2 linked regions of the Lytechinus pictus genome follow. The main gene of each other region encodes a partner of the protein of the gene in region 2 in a complex. Links are inferred from orthologs where the notes say so. Each region holds a gene or a part of one and is shown on either strand. Other genes may lie near its edges.

Region 1 (8,123 bases), on a different chromosome or scaffold from region 2:
CACCTTGACTCATACTTGGAGCTGTAACTCCATTATTATTGATAGGAACTAAACATCTCTTTATCACAACATAGTAGGCAGTCTGACTATCCTTTGTATAAAAACAAAACTTGGGAAATTTCATTATGCTCCTGGCAAATCTTAGAAATGTGTCGGTTACTCATGTTACATGATTTGGACATGCATAAAATGAAAAGTGGACATAAGTGAAAAGTGTCCTCATACAAGGCTTTTATGAAAGTTGATTATATCCATTTCAAATAAGTATATTAGGGAGACAAATTTGTATATAATTCAAAAAATAAAGAACACATGGTTTTTACTAGGGGTGCAGATAAAGTGGTTACTCACATTACGGTTCAGATGGGCTATACAGTACAAAGACACATTGAGCTCATGTCCACCAACCTATGGAATTGCCCCATTGCGCTGACTGAGTAAGATGCGATTGGCAACTTCATGCAATCGCATTGCACAATGTACGCTGGGCTTAAGTTAAGACTCACTGTTTCATACAACCTTTTAAAGGATGGTCTGGTACTTACTATACAGGAGAGAACAAAACCAGCACCGAGTATGTACACAGTCTGTACGAACTGCTCACAGACATAACCCCAGATGAACCCTACAATCTGCAAGGGAATGCAAAGTGCAACATTTTATGAATCACAAGACTTCTTATCAGAAATGAAATCAGGTTGCAGACAAACTTTTCTCACTAAATTCCCATTCAATGTATCGATTAATTAAATGGATCAAAATTTCAGGAGGAAAATGAAGGTGATTGGAAGGGAGCAGAATTTTCAGGAGCTGATAAATTAGGAGGGTTGGCATCTCTGTTGGCTATAGATATTTATCCAATATTCAAGCAATCATTCTGAATTTTAATCCATAATAACCTGCAATATATTTCAAAACAGTTACATGTAATAGCAAAACTTAATAAAAGGTGCTGTTATGAGCTACTGAAAAAAGTAATAGTCAAAGCAATTCGTCCCAGAAGGCTAAGATTACAATAGAACGATAGACAGTTTAATGGAAAGAGGATCCTGTTTGAGGAGATCTAGAAAGAGAGAAGGAAAATGATGACTAGATGATGGGGGGAGGGGAGGAGATGAGAAAGATGAAGAGGAAAGGGAGGAGGTGGTGTGCAAAATGAAGAACAGGATAGGAAGAAGAGGATGAGGAAGATGAGCTGCAAAAGGGGGATATATTATGAGAAAGCGCATGAGGAGAAAGAAGAGATAGAAAGGGAAAAGGAAAAAGAGCACTAGATGATTATGAAGAGGATGAGCAGAAAAGGAGAAGAATGAGGAGGGGGAGGAGGAAGAGGTGTGGTACATAAGGAGGAATGGGATGGGAGGAGGAAGATGATTAAGAAATGAGGGAGATGAGGAAATTAGGAAAAGGAGGATGAGAAGGGGGTGAGAAGGTGCAAAAGGAGGAGAAAGAGGGATAGCAAGATAAGGAGGGGAAGAAGAGGATAGGAGGAAGGGTACGAGAAAGAAGTAGAAGAGGGGGAAATGTGGAGGAAGAGGAGTTAAATGAGAATAAAGAGGACTAGCAGTAGCAGATATGAAGGAAGATGGATAAGATGAGGAGGGATGGGGGGAGTACTGGAAGAGGAAGAAAAGAAGATCATATAACAATGTACTAATTATTATCATTTCTAGGATACACACACACTACTACTAGCCAATGTACCAAAAAAATTGTTTGCAAATAGTCAGGCTTTATGCATTATGACACTCACACAACATGTGAGGTTAGTATATTATGATAACCCTCCAAGAAGATTTAATCAAAACTATGTGATTTTCATTCATGTTGACTAGAGCAAACACACTTAAACAAAAATTTACTTACCCCAAACAGCATGATTATTGCCTGGAATATCTGCTCTGCAAGTTTCTGTCCCTTATAATCCTGTGAAAACAGTAAGAAAAAAACAAAGAAAACATAGCCATAGATAAGTATGACATGACGTCATTTTGTTTAATTTTAAAAGGGACTTAACAGCTTAAACTAAAGTTAAAGTTTTAGGAGCACTCATGACGTCATGTCATGATACTTACCTATGCCTATGGCTATGTTTTAAATCTCGTCTTGCCTCTAACATTAGTCTTGTCTTAATTGATGAAGTTGATTCTTGATCGATTTTCAAAGAATGGATTTGTTGATAAAAAACAGTTAGTCTTAGAGCCTATAGTCTATAGAGGCAAGATTCTTTAAAAATAAAATAATACAAATATTACAATTTCATGTTTACAATAACCATAATTTGTAGTCAGTACCGTAGTCTGATTCAAAGTCTCCAAAACAGATTTCAGGAATCTATTGGATATGGAAAAAAGGCGCGGCAGGGCCAAGGCCAAGCTGAAGCTCTCTCTCGACCTCTCCTTTTCAGCTTCCATCAAAGTTTCTTCCCGTTTCCCAGGCCCATTTCATCTTAAGCTCGGCTAAGACAAACTCGTATTTCAATGGATGGGACCACACTCAAGACACTCGTTAAAAATACTTACCATATGGGTTGGTACGCTGTCCAAAAACCCCATTCTGTCGAGTTTACTTGTAGTTTCTTGATTATCACTGATCTTGACAATAACCACTTGTCCAAAAGGTCTAATATTCAGCTGTAATAAATTTCAATTCGCCCGGAATATGAATAATACGTGTCGTAAATGTAGACGGCCACAGCAAACAAAACCAATTAAGGAGAATAGCGCCAGCTCCGTCTTGTCTGCGGCTCTCATAAAATAAAAACACTGTCAGCTCAGTTGTGAAATTTCTCGCGCGAAAGGGATATTTTGTAGCCTTTGAAGTCTGAACTAAGTTAATGATCAAGAAAATCAACCATCGAAATGCCTGGTAAAGTCAATGTAGACAAGGAAATTTGGCGATGGACTGAAACAACCTCTCCAGAAGAAGTGACGGAGGAACATGTTCGGATTGCTTATCGAGTCAATCTCCCAATTTGTTCGGCGTCTTGCAGGTAAAGTCTGTGGTAGTAGTGTTAGTGTTACTGTGATGTGCAGCTGCAGTGAAATAAAACAGGATCATGATCAAGTTAAACTTAAAAAGTTATGACTCATGAGCGATAACACTAGTTCATGTTTAGCCTCTGGGCCCTACAAGCAAAAATAGTTAGGAGAATAATCCGAAAAGAAAGAAAATATATGAAAGAAACAAATACGGTAGAGATAAACTGATAAAGAATGAAAGATCATTGTCGACTCGATCTAGCTAGAGTCTAGATCTCAAAAGAATTGAATTTCAGCTAAAAATTCAGGGAACATGAATGGGAAGAGAGAGAGGAAGAAAGTGTTCTAACATTAGGCCTAACGTTAACCATGTCATGTTATTAACTCACTGTTTAAATTGAGGCATATGGCCATGGCAAGTTCCCCCAAGTCTGCGCACAGCAGCGCAGTCCCCCTTGTCTGCGCACACGCGTATCTGCGCGATTCTACTACTACTAGTAAAAGAAGATACGCGACGACCACAGACTTTACACATGCAATACATAGAAAGATATTCATTAAAAAATCTGACTCAAAATGACATAAAAATAATGAATTTGGGGCATTTCATGTGATGGCCTCAAAAAGCAGCCTTTTTCATCAAAATCCCCGAATTGCGTGCAAAGTGAATGGGTGCGCATACATGGGGTACCATTTTTTTGTTCAATCTGAAAATGACTGCCTGATGTTTTTTGCAAGAAAACCATGTATTTCTAATTTTTATGAGATATTTAGTTCAGTTATGATAATATTAAGGAAAATTATCAACTGAAAGAATTTGTGAAATAAAAAGAAATTCATGTTATGATGGTGGGCCCCAAGTCTGCGCACCTAACAATTTGAGTTAAGATTTAACATGAATTTCTTCTTATTTCACAAAATCTTTCAATTAATAATGTTCCTTACATTATTAAGAGTAAGTGTACCAAGTTTCTCATTAAAAAATGAAAGAAAATATAGGATTTTCTTGAAAAAACCTCGAGCAGTCATTTTCAGATTGAATAAAAATGATACCCCATGTCTGCGCACTCATTCACTTTGCACACGATTTGGGGATTTTGATGAGAAACGCTGCATTTTGAGGCTGTCACATTAAATGCCCTAAATTCATTATTTTCCCACCATTTTGAGTCGGATTTTTTTATGAATACCTGTCTATGTATTGCATGTTTAAAGTACGTGCTCGTTGCGTATCTTCTTTTATTCGAATCGTGCAGATACTCGTGTGCGCAGACAAGGGGGACTGCGCAGACTTAGGGGAACTTGCCATAAATCTCAACTCAAATCGTTAGGTGCACAAACTTGGGGACCACCATCATAATGAAAATTAAAATCACCATTTTCAAGTGACCAAAACATTTCATCTGCAAAGAGGGAACTTGCAATCGGAATTTGAATTGAATTTTATCAATGGAATCCATTTGTTGCACTTTTACAACCGATAAGAAATGTATTTTTCAACATGGTGTTTCAAGATTTAAGTATTTATTTTTAGAGTGTTCCATAGTCATGTTTGTGCGCATCATCCATCATGATCTGAGCCAAGTATCATATTTTAACTATGTGCATGCCATTGACAGGTGATTAATTACATGTAGCTATAGTTAGATCTATCAGCTGATTTTTCACATGATCTTCATTCTAACTGCAGATTGGATGTGTTCATTTATAAAGCGGGTCGTGTGGTCCAGTGGTTAGAGCATTGGACTCATAATCGCAAGGTTGTGAGTTCGAATCCCAACTCTGCCATTGTCTCCACTTTGATAAAAAGGCCCAAGAGTGATATCTGTCGTCTATTACGTCAGCCACTATGACTGATTAACCTAGACGTAAAATGTTTCCAAGGTAATTGGTTATATACCAGCTTGGCGTTTACCAGCAAAAAATGCTGTCCTGCCGATTTCCTACGGGAGTTACCACAAACAGAAAAAAAGAAAAAAAAGCCAAGTAGCTGAAAATAATCCATGGACAAATATGTTTAAATACCACTACAATTTCTGAATACTACAATACTCTGAAGTGCTGCAAAGTAATAAAGCAATACTTTGATTCTCATTTGTCCAGGCGAAACTGCAAAGGCAATCCAAATTGCCTTGTGAATCTTGGTGAGAAGGAATGGCTGAAGGGGATCAGCGATGAACACTGGTATCAGATGGATGACCCGGAAGAAGAAACGAGGAGAAAGGTCAGTCTGGTCATGGGTCAGGGTGGTAGTCTCAAAGTTAAAGGTCAAGTCCACTTCAGAAAAATGTTGATTTGAATAAATAGAAAAAAATCAAAATTGCATCACGCTGAAAATTTCATCGAAATCGGAAGTAAAATACGAAAGTTATGACATTTTTCATGTTTTGCTTATTTTTCACAAAACAGTGATATGCAAATGAGGCAGTAGATAATGTCCTTCACTCACTTTTTCTTTTGTTTTTTATTGTTGAATTATACAATATTTATTTTTTTACAAAGTTGACAAAAAGGACCAACTTGACTGAGCCATATAGTATAAAACAATGCTAATTCGAAATGTTCAGGGAGGAATTAATTGTTGTTTAACTTGACAATGAGGAGAAAATTAGAATATTTTATATTTCATATAATAAAATACAGAATAAATAGTGAGTGGATGATGCCATCAGTCTCCTCATTTGCATACCGACCAGGGTGTGCACATATAACTGTTTTGTGAAATTAAGCAAAACTTTAAAATGTTATAACTTTCTTATTTTACATCCGATTTTGATGAAATTTTCATTGTTATGCTCGTTGGATATTTATCTTTTCATTCAAATCAACTTTTTGTTGGGGTGAACTTGTCGGATGGCTCCTGGAACTGCATTAACTGTTTCCACAAAAATACTGCTAAACTTTAAAATTCAATAACTTTGTCATTTGTTTTCAGATTTTGATGATATTTCCAGCGTTTTAACTCTGTGAATTGTGCTCCATTTAGATTTAATCATTTTCAGCCTGGAGTACCCCGTTAAGTCTAGATTTAACAGGAATTTTAGTCCCTACTTCTATGGTAGACTAGGCTTGATTTTTTGCATTCTATACGCAATACTCGATGATACATTTGTACCAAAGTAAAGACGCTGAGTCCCAGTTTACTGACTTATTGATGACTCAGGCTGGAAACCATTGATTGATGCATGTCTTCAAGACTAAATCAAGTAAATCGCTTTGTTAATCTTTGCTTTTATAACTATTGAAAGCATGCTAAAGTTTGCTTTTAATTTTTTTTTTCTGATATTTCATGCTTTACTTTCAGGAGGATTTGGTTGGGTTGAAAAATCTTGGTGCAACGTGTTATGTGAACACATTCTTGCAGGTAAGTGCATAAAGGCTGTGACCAGGCCCAAAAAATATCATTATTTGTATTTTTTGTTTTAATATCATCATTAATATTATTTGTTTGTTTGTTTGTTTATTCATTCATTTGATTATTCATTCATTCATTTATTTATTGATATTTTATTTCATTTTTCAATTGATTATTCATTTTTCCATTTATTATTGTTATTATTAAAATCAATTTTCATTTCTTATTTTTTATTTATTTTCTTATTTTTATATATTTTGTTTATCTATTTATTTTTTTTTTTTTTGGGGGGGGGACCTTTAACAGCCCACTGCTTCAACTCAGTAAACTTAGATAAGCATTTACATTGCAATGAAGGGGATTTTTCAGGGCTCTTTTGAGCCCCCGTGTACTTTTTCCCTGGTTGTGACCTGATGAAAGGTGAAGGGGGGGGGGATATCAGCTTGAGCACTGTGTGTACATCATGAAAGTCAAAGAAACCACCTGGAATGCTGAGATCTTCATTTCTCTAAGATTGGTTTAAATGGAATTTCTGATTTTGATGAAATTTTCAGCGTTATTCTAGTTTAATTTTCCTTTATTTATTCAAATCAACATTTTTCTGGGGTAGACTTGACCTTTAATTATTGACCCCTCAAATCTAGCAATGACGTATGATGATTATCACAAGTTCATTGACTTGCCCTTTATCAGTCATTGTTTTTATCATTGTTATGAACTCACCATCTGAAATGTAAATGTTAAACTATTTTGGGTCCATTTAATAAAACACCCAAAGACATTGAAAAATAAATTAAAAATAAATTGTAAATTATTGTGTAAAAAGCTAGATGCTATTATACATGTAGCTAGTGCAACTTATTCTTTCTTGTCAATTCATTCTTCTTCTTTCTTTCTTTAAAAAAAATCTAATCAGGTATGGTTCAATAACCAGCAGTTTCGAGAAGCAATCTACAGGTGGAGGCCATTGGATAAGGAATGGGGAAAAGAACAACCGCTTGAAGGTAGAAATGATGTGTTAACTTTCATAGAAGTGCCAATTTTGTAATGATTATGATTATCCAAAAGAAATATTTGTAAATGTAGGAGTTGGATGGATTTCCCCCTTGAGCTTCTATAATTTGAATGGAGATGAATCTACTTCAGGAACATTTGTTTGGTTCCAATCCAGAACAAAATAAAGGAAAGGGACGGGTGGAGAGTAAGGAGGAGGAGTAGAATGAGGAGACAGAGGAGGGGAAGGAGGAGGAAGAAGGGGATGGATGCATACTTGCCAACCATCCCGATTTTGGCGGAATCATCCCGATTTTATATTGCCAATTCCGCATTACGAATATCAACCCCATAATTCTGATTTTCATTAATTTTTACATCGATAATATTGAAAAAACGGCTGGAGCGAAGGTTAGACAAAACTGAAGCTTGTGGGCACCTGTATATTGCGATATCCCAAATAGCATTATTTTTCCACCAACTGAACACATTCTTGCACGTAGTTTTTCACTTTGCCTATCTCACATGGCGCGCACATTGCAGGAGCGCGTGCAAACACAGCTAGAGCGACAACACGTGTTAATACAATGCATGCTGCGACGTCGCCGGACGTCGCGATACCGCGCTGCATGCATTAAACAAGTGCATAATACGTGTGCAAACGTAAGATCCAGCTCAACGATCGTCGGCCTAATGCTAATGGCCAAAGGATATAGTTTTTCCCTGGAATTTTAAAGCCAAAAATTATAAATTTAGTGTGTGGAAAGTGGATACCGTCGCCAATGCATCGTTTG
Region 2 (7,668 bases):
GTTTATTAGTAGAAATGGGAGCCATATGGGACATTTAATTTGCTTATAGCTATTAATAAAGGACCTTTATACAAAATTGTATTTGGGAAAGGCACCGACTCAAGATATAACCAATATTCAAGGAGGTCAGAACAGGGTCGAGTCTCAAAAAGAGTTATGATTGATCTGATCAATCTCAGCTAAGGATATCCATCAATGCCATCATTTTTTATGCAGGAAATTTGCACAATGTCCCTTTGTAAACAAAGAGGAGCATACTGCTTGTCAAGACAATGTTGCCTGCATTTACATCATATCGTTGCCTTCCTGCAAAAAGGCCATTAGCGCGCATTGCACGTCGCCTTCCCACAGAAAGGCCGTTATCGTGCTGTGAACAATGCACGCTAACAGCCTTTGTGCGGGAAGCCGACGCGAAGTCCGCGCCAACGGCCCTTTCGCGGGAAGGTGACAAGCGGCCTGTGTGCGGGAAGGCGACGATATCTAGAAAACAGTTTGAACAGACATGTATGGCTGGCTTTCCACTGTTGTGTGCTGGATTGAATGAAGATCTTGAGAATCTTACCCTCCGGATATCATCATCCAAGGCGTTCTTGACCGCCGTCCCGTTCCACTTATCCACTCTGCACGGCTCTTCCTCCATCTGGAAAAAAAAAAAGAGAAGAGATACAAAATAACAAGCCCACTGATGAAAAATGCCAAAGACAGTCTTCACATAAGAATTTTGAACATCGATGAAAAAGGGCCAAAACACATTTGAAAGTCTTTATTTTCTCAAAACTAAAAATATGGTTAAAATATATGATCAGTAATTTTGTAAATTTTCCAACTATTCCCGCAGAAAAACATTTCTGGTCATATACCATACCAATACCAACATGTATACATTTCAAAGTCAGTGACCAAATATTATGCGAAGAGGGGTGGGATAAGATACTTCAGAAGTTGATTTCGTAAAAAAAAGAAAACTGCATGATCTTAGGTATTTGGGGAAGAGTTCCTTTTTTGTATCCATGGTCATTAGAGGCGCTGGTCAGTTTATAGGGACCGTCTCAGTTTTCAAAGATTTCTCCACACAAGAAATATAGGAAAGTTCATTCACCTGTCAAGTGCCAACGTCAATTGAGTGCGCTAGTCAAGGTATTAACATATCAGGTTTCATAACAAGATTATTGGAAGGCGGCAAGTCATGAAAAATAGACAGTGAACTTGGGGAATTGAGGTCACTGAATCTATTTTTAGCACTCTCAATCCCCGTAATTGCCTTGAACTATGTCCTGCAGGGGTAAGTGAAAAAAAAACCTGTCCCCATAATCTGGCCCATATAGAAGGACAATCCAATCTAAATTTATCAAGAAATGATTTGTCTTGGTTTTTGATGATATCCTTGTTTTCTGGGACAATCCCAACTTTTGGACCAGCACCTAATTTGATGAATACCAAGATAAATTTGCATTTCCTGATTGAATTTATGAATAGTATTTCAGTAATCCACTCCAGCTCCCCTGACAATTGACACTACAACATGCTCGGGTTACATCATGCATGCAATTGGTTTTCATGGTTTTGGATGAGAATATTTTGTTTTGTGATGGCATTAGGATCTATACCCTGACGAATATCTTTTAAATGTGTGCTAAGTTTGGACACCCAATAAAATCTAGAATGCAAGTCAACTGCAGCTGCATAAAATATGATCTGGGGCCCAGTTTCATTTCATGACATAAGCCATGAAAGTCAAGCCCAAGGTCAGGAGTGAGGGGCCTGTTTCATAAAATGGTGTTTGGTAGAATGGCTCTACGAAAGAACGAGATATTGCTAGACTGTTTCCCAAAGCCAATTTGGGCGATACGAAGAATGGTCCTTGGAAAGACACCTCTAGACATGTCCTACGAAGGCAGGTTCTTCTCTGCACACCGCCCGCCACCGTCCACATTGAGAGAAAATGTATTTACGGCAAGCCACACTGACATATACCACCTTTAAAAATTTTGGGGGGTCATTCAATTGCACTCTGCACTGATGCATTTTATTTGGGATGGCGCCAAGTTATCTTTTTAATATATGGGGGCTGTCATTGATTTCATGGCAAAAAAGATGCCATTTAATTAACTTCTCCAGGGTAATCTAAGCCCAAATTTAATATTTAAAAATATGTTTTCTTTTGTTTTCTCCCTCTTTTCCCCACCCTTTTTCCATTTTTTTTTTCAAGCAAACTTGAAATATGCATCACGTAGCTTGGCAAAGAACAAAAGAAACATGATGGCGACGTAAACACCGCGGCAGGTTTTCCCCGTCTCTTCCACTCACACGTATTGCGAGGTTAGTAGTATACTAACCTTGCACCATGAACCGCGTTTGGCAGTGGATTTCTAACTAGTGGGTCGCACGTGCTGCGATCCCACTTGTGTCCACAACACACGACTTCTATTTCTATGCGCGGCGGCATGTAATGAACCCTTGACCGAGTGCGTCTCTTCATATTTTTCTTGTTTTGTTGATGAATTCTTGTTTAAAAATGAAATCAATGTCATATTAATCTCGGAAAAGAAGTTGTAGACTTATCCCATTTACAATGATTTAGAAGTTAACTTAGTCTGACTTAGTTAGGACTTAGGGCTAGATCTTTTTTAGAAGGAAAGTAGAACTAGAAATCTGAGTCTAAGCCAGGGGCAAAAGTTTCAGTTTTTTTTGTGGCACACGCATATGAATAGGACGCAATCCCTGGCACCTCCGTGGAGGGTAAGCATACGTTAGTAAATGATTTTTACTCTCTAGTCTAGGAGCCTCCTGGCTAGTCTCCATGGATAACAAATTATAAATGGCAAAGTTAACAATTTTTATTTCAACTCAGACATAGGGACCTAGGCCTATATTGAAATTGAATTTTGAAAAAGACTTGAGTCAAGAACCTTAATTAAACTTAAAGAAAGCTAAATTTCTATTCTTACCAAGGTATCTCCACGTTCACTTGACATAATATGAGCACTTGTTTTTCCACTAAATCCTCTATTTTCGTAATCTAGGCACGGGTAAAATTGCACCAGTTTTGACTTTTATTCTGTTGAATGTAATGTGTGTAAAACATATGGCCAATATCGCTCCTCCATTCACTTTACACATGCAGTCCGGAATACATTGAGCTAAGGACACGTCGACTAAATCCCCCCATGGCCCTCCACGTGAAAACCGCTTAGAAGAGTAAAAATTGAATACTTTTTAAGCTATCCCATGAGCCTCTAGGTCACTGAGCGACGAAATACTTTGACTGACGCTCTTCTTCGCGACAAGGAGGGAAAAGGCAAAATATATTTAGTCTGTTTTCTCAACAAATGTAAAGAGTAAGTATCCGAAATCTCTACATTTCCAATACCAGCTTTATCTAATTTTTCATGATCATCATCACTTTATTAATGTAAAAGGTACATTCTTTTTAAAGCAGGTCAAACTGGGGATAGGACACCGTGCCGTGCAGCGCTGACTCAGGCTAGCCCGACCGGGCCGAGACGGGCCGCGTGACGCCGTGAATACGTAGATGTGTCGGAGCCTGCTGCCAGTGTCGAGTTGTGGATATGGATGGCGGAGTCTGCAGACTGACAGGCTGAGAGCCTGAGTCTGAGAGCTGGTCGCACTCACACATGCATGCGAGGTTAGCTATACTAACCTCGCACAACGCATGTGATTTCATAATGCAATTTGATGTTTTCATTCATCACACGAATGTGAGACTGAGAGAATAACATGCCAAAACAAAGCCAAACTCAAAGGCAAAATTTTTACATTTAATGATTTATTCACTACGACTACGTCTACGTAATTTTCATCTATCAACTAACTTAATTTTAAAAATATATTCAAAATTATTTATAAAAATGATTTTTTCACGCTTACCTCCAAATTTCGGCCAAGATACTCCGTCTGTCCGAATACTGCGGTGGAAATCAAGCAAACAACAATCGAAATGCGAATTTTTCCTATCTAAAAAACTAACAGTCTCTATTCAAGTCGTCGGCGCATAATAGGAAATTGTACAAAAAATCAACAGGTTGCTTCTCATGTATATAGTTATAGGTAGAGTTACCAAAAGGTCGGCCGATCCACTGAGCAAAATTGCTATGGGCAAATGAAAAGCCAATTGCAAGTGCGTAAACAGTGTGCATTGCCACCATCGTCTGTTCTCGACGGCAAAAATGAGCATTGAAATGCTTTTCCTCAGCAAATTAGTTCATCTTAGTGAAAAAAATTAGGCCCTGTGTTTTCTTTATGTAAATTGACTTATGTGGGATGAAGTGTCTTACCTTCATGTGGTATCGAAAGTGACGTTTGGAGGTTAAATCCACGAGAAATCCACAGAGTTTCGTCGCGTGTATTCGCTATGGAGAAAAATGCGTGCGATCGCATGCGTTATTGCAAGCTCGAGACGGCGCTGTTGAACTTGGTCTGGAAATTCATAAAAAATAAACAAAAATCCTTGAGTAGGCTCACAATAAAATCATAAAAAATATGCTTTATGGCTAAAACGGTAGTTCTCTTGCCCACACATATCATACTTGTTGTTGCGTAAGAAATCCTTTTTTCATGATAAAAATATAGCAATAAATGTTTTAAAAATTATGTTACCCACATGGAATATGTTTGAAACATCTATATTAGAAGAAAAATGTGTTTTTTGAATGAATTCAAACTAAAATGAAGTTTATACATGCTTGCACTTTTTCATACTACTCAAAAAACAAAATGGGCCGTCAATCAACGTTGGTTACCTCGGCAAGTAGGCGTGGTCTATCGTGAAGTTCGCTGGTGACGTACCTTTCTCGCTAGACTTTACTCAGCCGCCGAATTTAATTCATTCTCCGCGCATGTGCAACTGCAACTTATTATCGTCACTGCACTGCTGGTGTTTGCCGCATTGAGGACAGATGAAACAATTCAGATAGAGTTGCGCGTGTACAATGAGTGAAACAGCGCGATCGTTTCATGATCGAATGAAACAGTGTGCCTGTCGAGATAAAATTCATCTGCCATGTTATTTTCTATCGTGTTTTATGCAACTGCAATTGATTTGTTATATTATTTTCTTTGATATTTCCTGTATACAATATGTATGTATGAATTTTATTTGAAGTGAATGAATTATGCTGGTGTCCTTGCCATTGAGGACAGATGAAGATGAAACAACACTGATAGAGTTGTGCGTGTACAAGGAGTGAAACAGCGCGATTGTTTTATGATCGAATGAAACAGTGTGCCTGTCGAGATAAAATTCATCTGCCATGTTATTTTCTATCGTGTTTTATGCAACTGCAATTGATTTGTTATATTATTTTCTTTGATATTTCCTGTATATGTATGTATGAATTTTATTTGAAGTGAATGAATTATGCTGGTGTCCTTGCCATTGAGGACAGATGAAGATGAAACAACACTGATATAGTTGTGCGTGTACAAGGAGTGAAACAGCGCGATTGTTTTATGATCGAATGAACAGTGTGCCTGTCGAGATAAAATTCATCTGCCATGTTATTTTCTATCGTGTTTTATGCAACTGCAATTGATTTGTTATATTATTTTCTTTGATATTTCCTGTATATGTATGTATGAATTTTATTTGAAGTGAATGAATTATGCTGGTGTCCTTGCCATTGAGGACAGATGAAGATGAAACAACACTGATAGAGTTGTGCGTGTACAAGGAGTGAAACAGCGCGATTGTTTTATGATCGAATGAACAGTGTGCCTGTACTGTCGAGATAAAATTTATCTGTCATGTTATTTTCTATGATGTTTTATACAACTGCAATTAATTTTTTTTTTCTGTGATATTTTCCTGTTTATGTATAAATTTTATTTGAAGTGAATTATTATAAAGATTAATCCAAAACAAAGCAAATAATTGTCGGCTTCATTGTATTCGTGATGAACAAGTTAAGGTATCAAAAAATGATGCTTATTTTTTTTATTTGAATGACTTTGAGTAAATTGGAATTGAATAGGACGTTTAGTGTTTCCTGTTCAGTGCAATTTTTTTTTCTTTTTTTCATTTCACATTCTCGGGATGCGAACCTCCACTATAATTATAATTAATGAATACCATTATAAACAAAAATATTTGAAAAATAAAGACTCGCAAAAATTTTAATACTAGTGCAACGGTGATTTTTTTTATTTTGTTATTTCATTTACTGGGAGGTACGACAGACAAATACCCGGTGTAGATCAAAATTTTGCTAATGGGGGGGGGGGGCTACAATTTTTACCTTTTAAATTTTCGCACCGCCAGTAGGAGGGGTTGCCGCCGCCCATAATTGGGTCCGGCACCTGGATCTGCCTATGGAATGGATGAGGAATAATGAAAGGGGAGAAAAATAAAGGTGCCCCCTCCCGTAATATATCATATATTTGTTAGTGGATTTTGTCGTTCATTCTCAAGTGAGGACTTATTTTTCAACTTTTCCCAGGAATTTTGTGTATGGAATGATTTTTTCTTAGCATACTAGGTCTTGAATGCCCCCACTTTGGAAAATCCTGGATCAGCCCCTGTCAAGGTGTATATAGATGAAACTAAACTTGAATAGGGCTCCACATTAATGATTTTCAAAATTTAGCCATTTCCTATTTTCCCCGTTTAACACTGTGAGGTGAATAATTCAAATGCTTTCACCAGGCGCTACCATAGAAGTATCCAGGGGGGGGGGGCGGTCATCCCCCCCTAGCTGTTGGCGGATTAAAGACCAAACAATGGAGAAAGGAAGAAACAGAAGGAAAAGAGAGGGGAAAAGGAAGAGGGGAAAGGGAGGGAGAAAAGTGAATAAAATTAGGGAGGGGAGACTTCGATGATTTAAAAGAACATGCAAAATTGAAATTTTCGCTCGCGCTTCGCACTCGCATTGCTCATTTTCGAAGAGTACATATTGCTCAATAGGCTGATATATATGAGCTTGACATTTAAGCTTTGCAGTCAAAATACAAAACAAATACTGTACGGTCAGCTAGGACATTGAACTTTCATTATTCTTTTTGATTTATACCTCGGTCACATTTGCTCTGCGGCGGCCGTACTGAGAGTCAAAATAGCCGTTTTATTCATTTTTATTCAAACCACCTATATTGTGCTTAATTTGACCTTTTCACATCGGAATATCCAATATTATCAGTTCGCGCTTCGCGCCCGCATTATTGATTTCCGTGGTAAAAAGTGTATTAAGAATGCACAAATTCTAGAACACGCATGTTTATTGAGACGGGCTGCTTATCCTTTATTGAAAACAGCATGCTTAAATTATCTCGCTTCAGATTAGAATAAAAAAAAAAATTATTCTCGCTCTTGCATTATAAAATAATGTAAGACGGTAACCAATTACCCACCCTTTTCACGATTTAGAAAACATAAATATAAAATAGTGTTCCTTTTAGGTCTATATATCTCAATTGTTATCCGCTCACGCTTCGTGCTCCCACTGTGTTCTGTTCATACACAAAGTGCTTGGAATGTCCATTTTTATGGTCAGAATTTCAAACATTTTAGCTCGAGCTTTGCGCTCGCATTATTTTGATTGAAATATACATTGTCCTCTTGGCTAACTGTAAACCGCCATTAGCAAGTCCCTTTTCGATCAGGCCAGAACGTATATTTCTCTCTTTTCTTACTTACTTTTTTTTTGCTCCTTCACG

Evidence for each region.
Region 1: signal peptidase complex subunit 2-like (region 2) and signal peptidase complex subunit 1-like share a complex: the UniProt entries of both Drosophila melanogaster proteins name them as parts of the signal peptidase complex. The link is inferred for Lytechinus pictus from reciprocal best matches to the Drosophila melanogaster genes Spase25 and Spase12.

Annotation. Positions count from the first base shown.
Region 1 is NC_087258.1:20,231,188-20,239,310, forward strand, and holds the start of signal peptidase complex subunit 1-like, read right to left. Parts: upstream 3,047-8,123; 5' UTR 2,993-3,046; coding exon of another isoform or gene 2,862-2,992; 5' UTR 2,556-2,861; coding exon 2,523-2,555; exon of another isoform or gene 2,461-2,522; intron 1,927-2,460; coding exon 1,867-1,926; intron 633-1,866; coding exon 546-632; intron 1-545. Other genes in the region: ubiquitin carboxyl-terminal hydrolase 48-like, read left to right, coding at 2,862-2,992, 5,085-5,205, 6,286-6,345, 7,253-7,340. UniProt on the Drosophila melanogaster protein: Component of the signal peptidase complex (SPC) which catalyzes the cleavage of N-terminal signal sequences from nascent proteins as they are translocated into the lumen of the endoplasmic reticulum.
Region 2 is NC_087260.1:11,022,186-11,029,853, reverse strand, and holds the start of signal peptidase complex subunit 2-like, read right to left. Parts: upstream 3,201-7,668; 5' UTR 2,976-3,200; coding exon 2,949-2,975; intron 641-2,948; coding exon 563-640; intron 1-562. UniProt on the Drosophila melanogaster protein: Component of the signal peptidase complex (SPC) which catalyzes the cleavage of N-terminal signal sequences from nascent proteins as they are translocated into the lumen of the endoplasmic reticulum.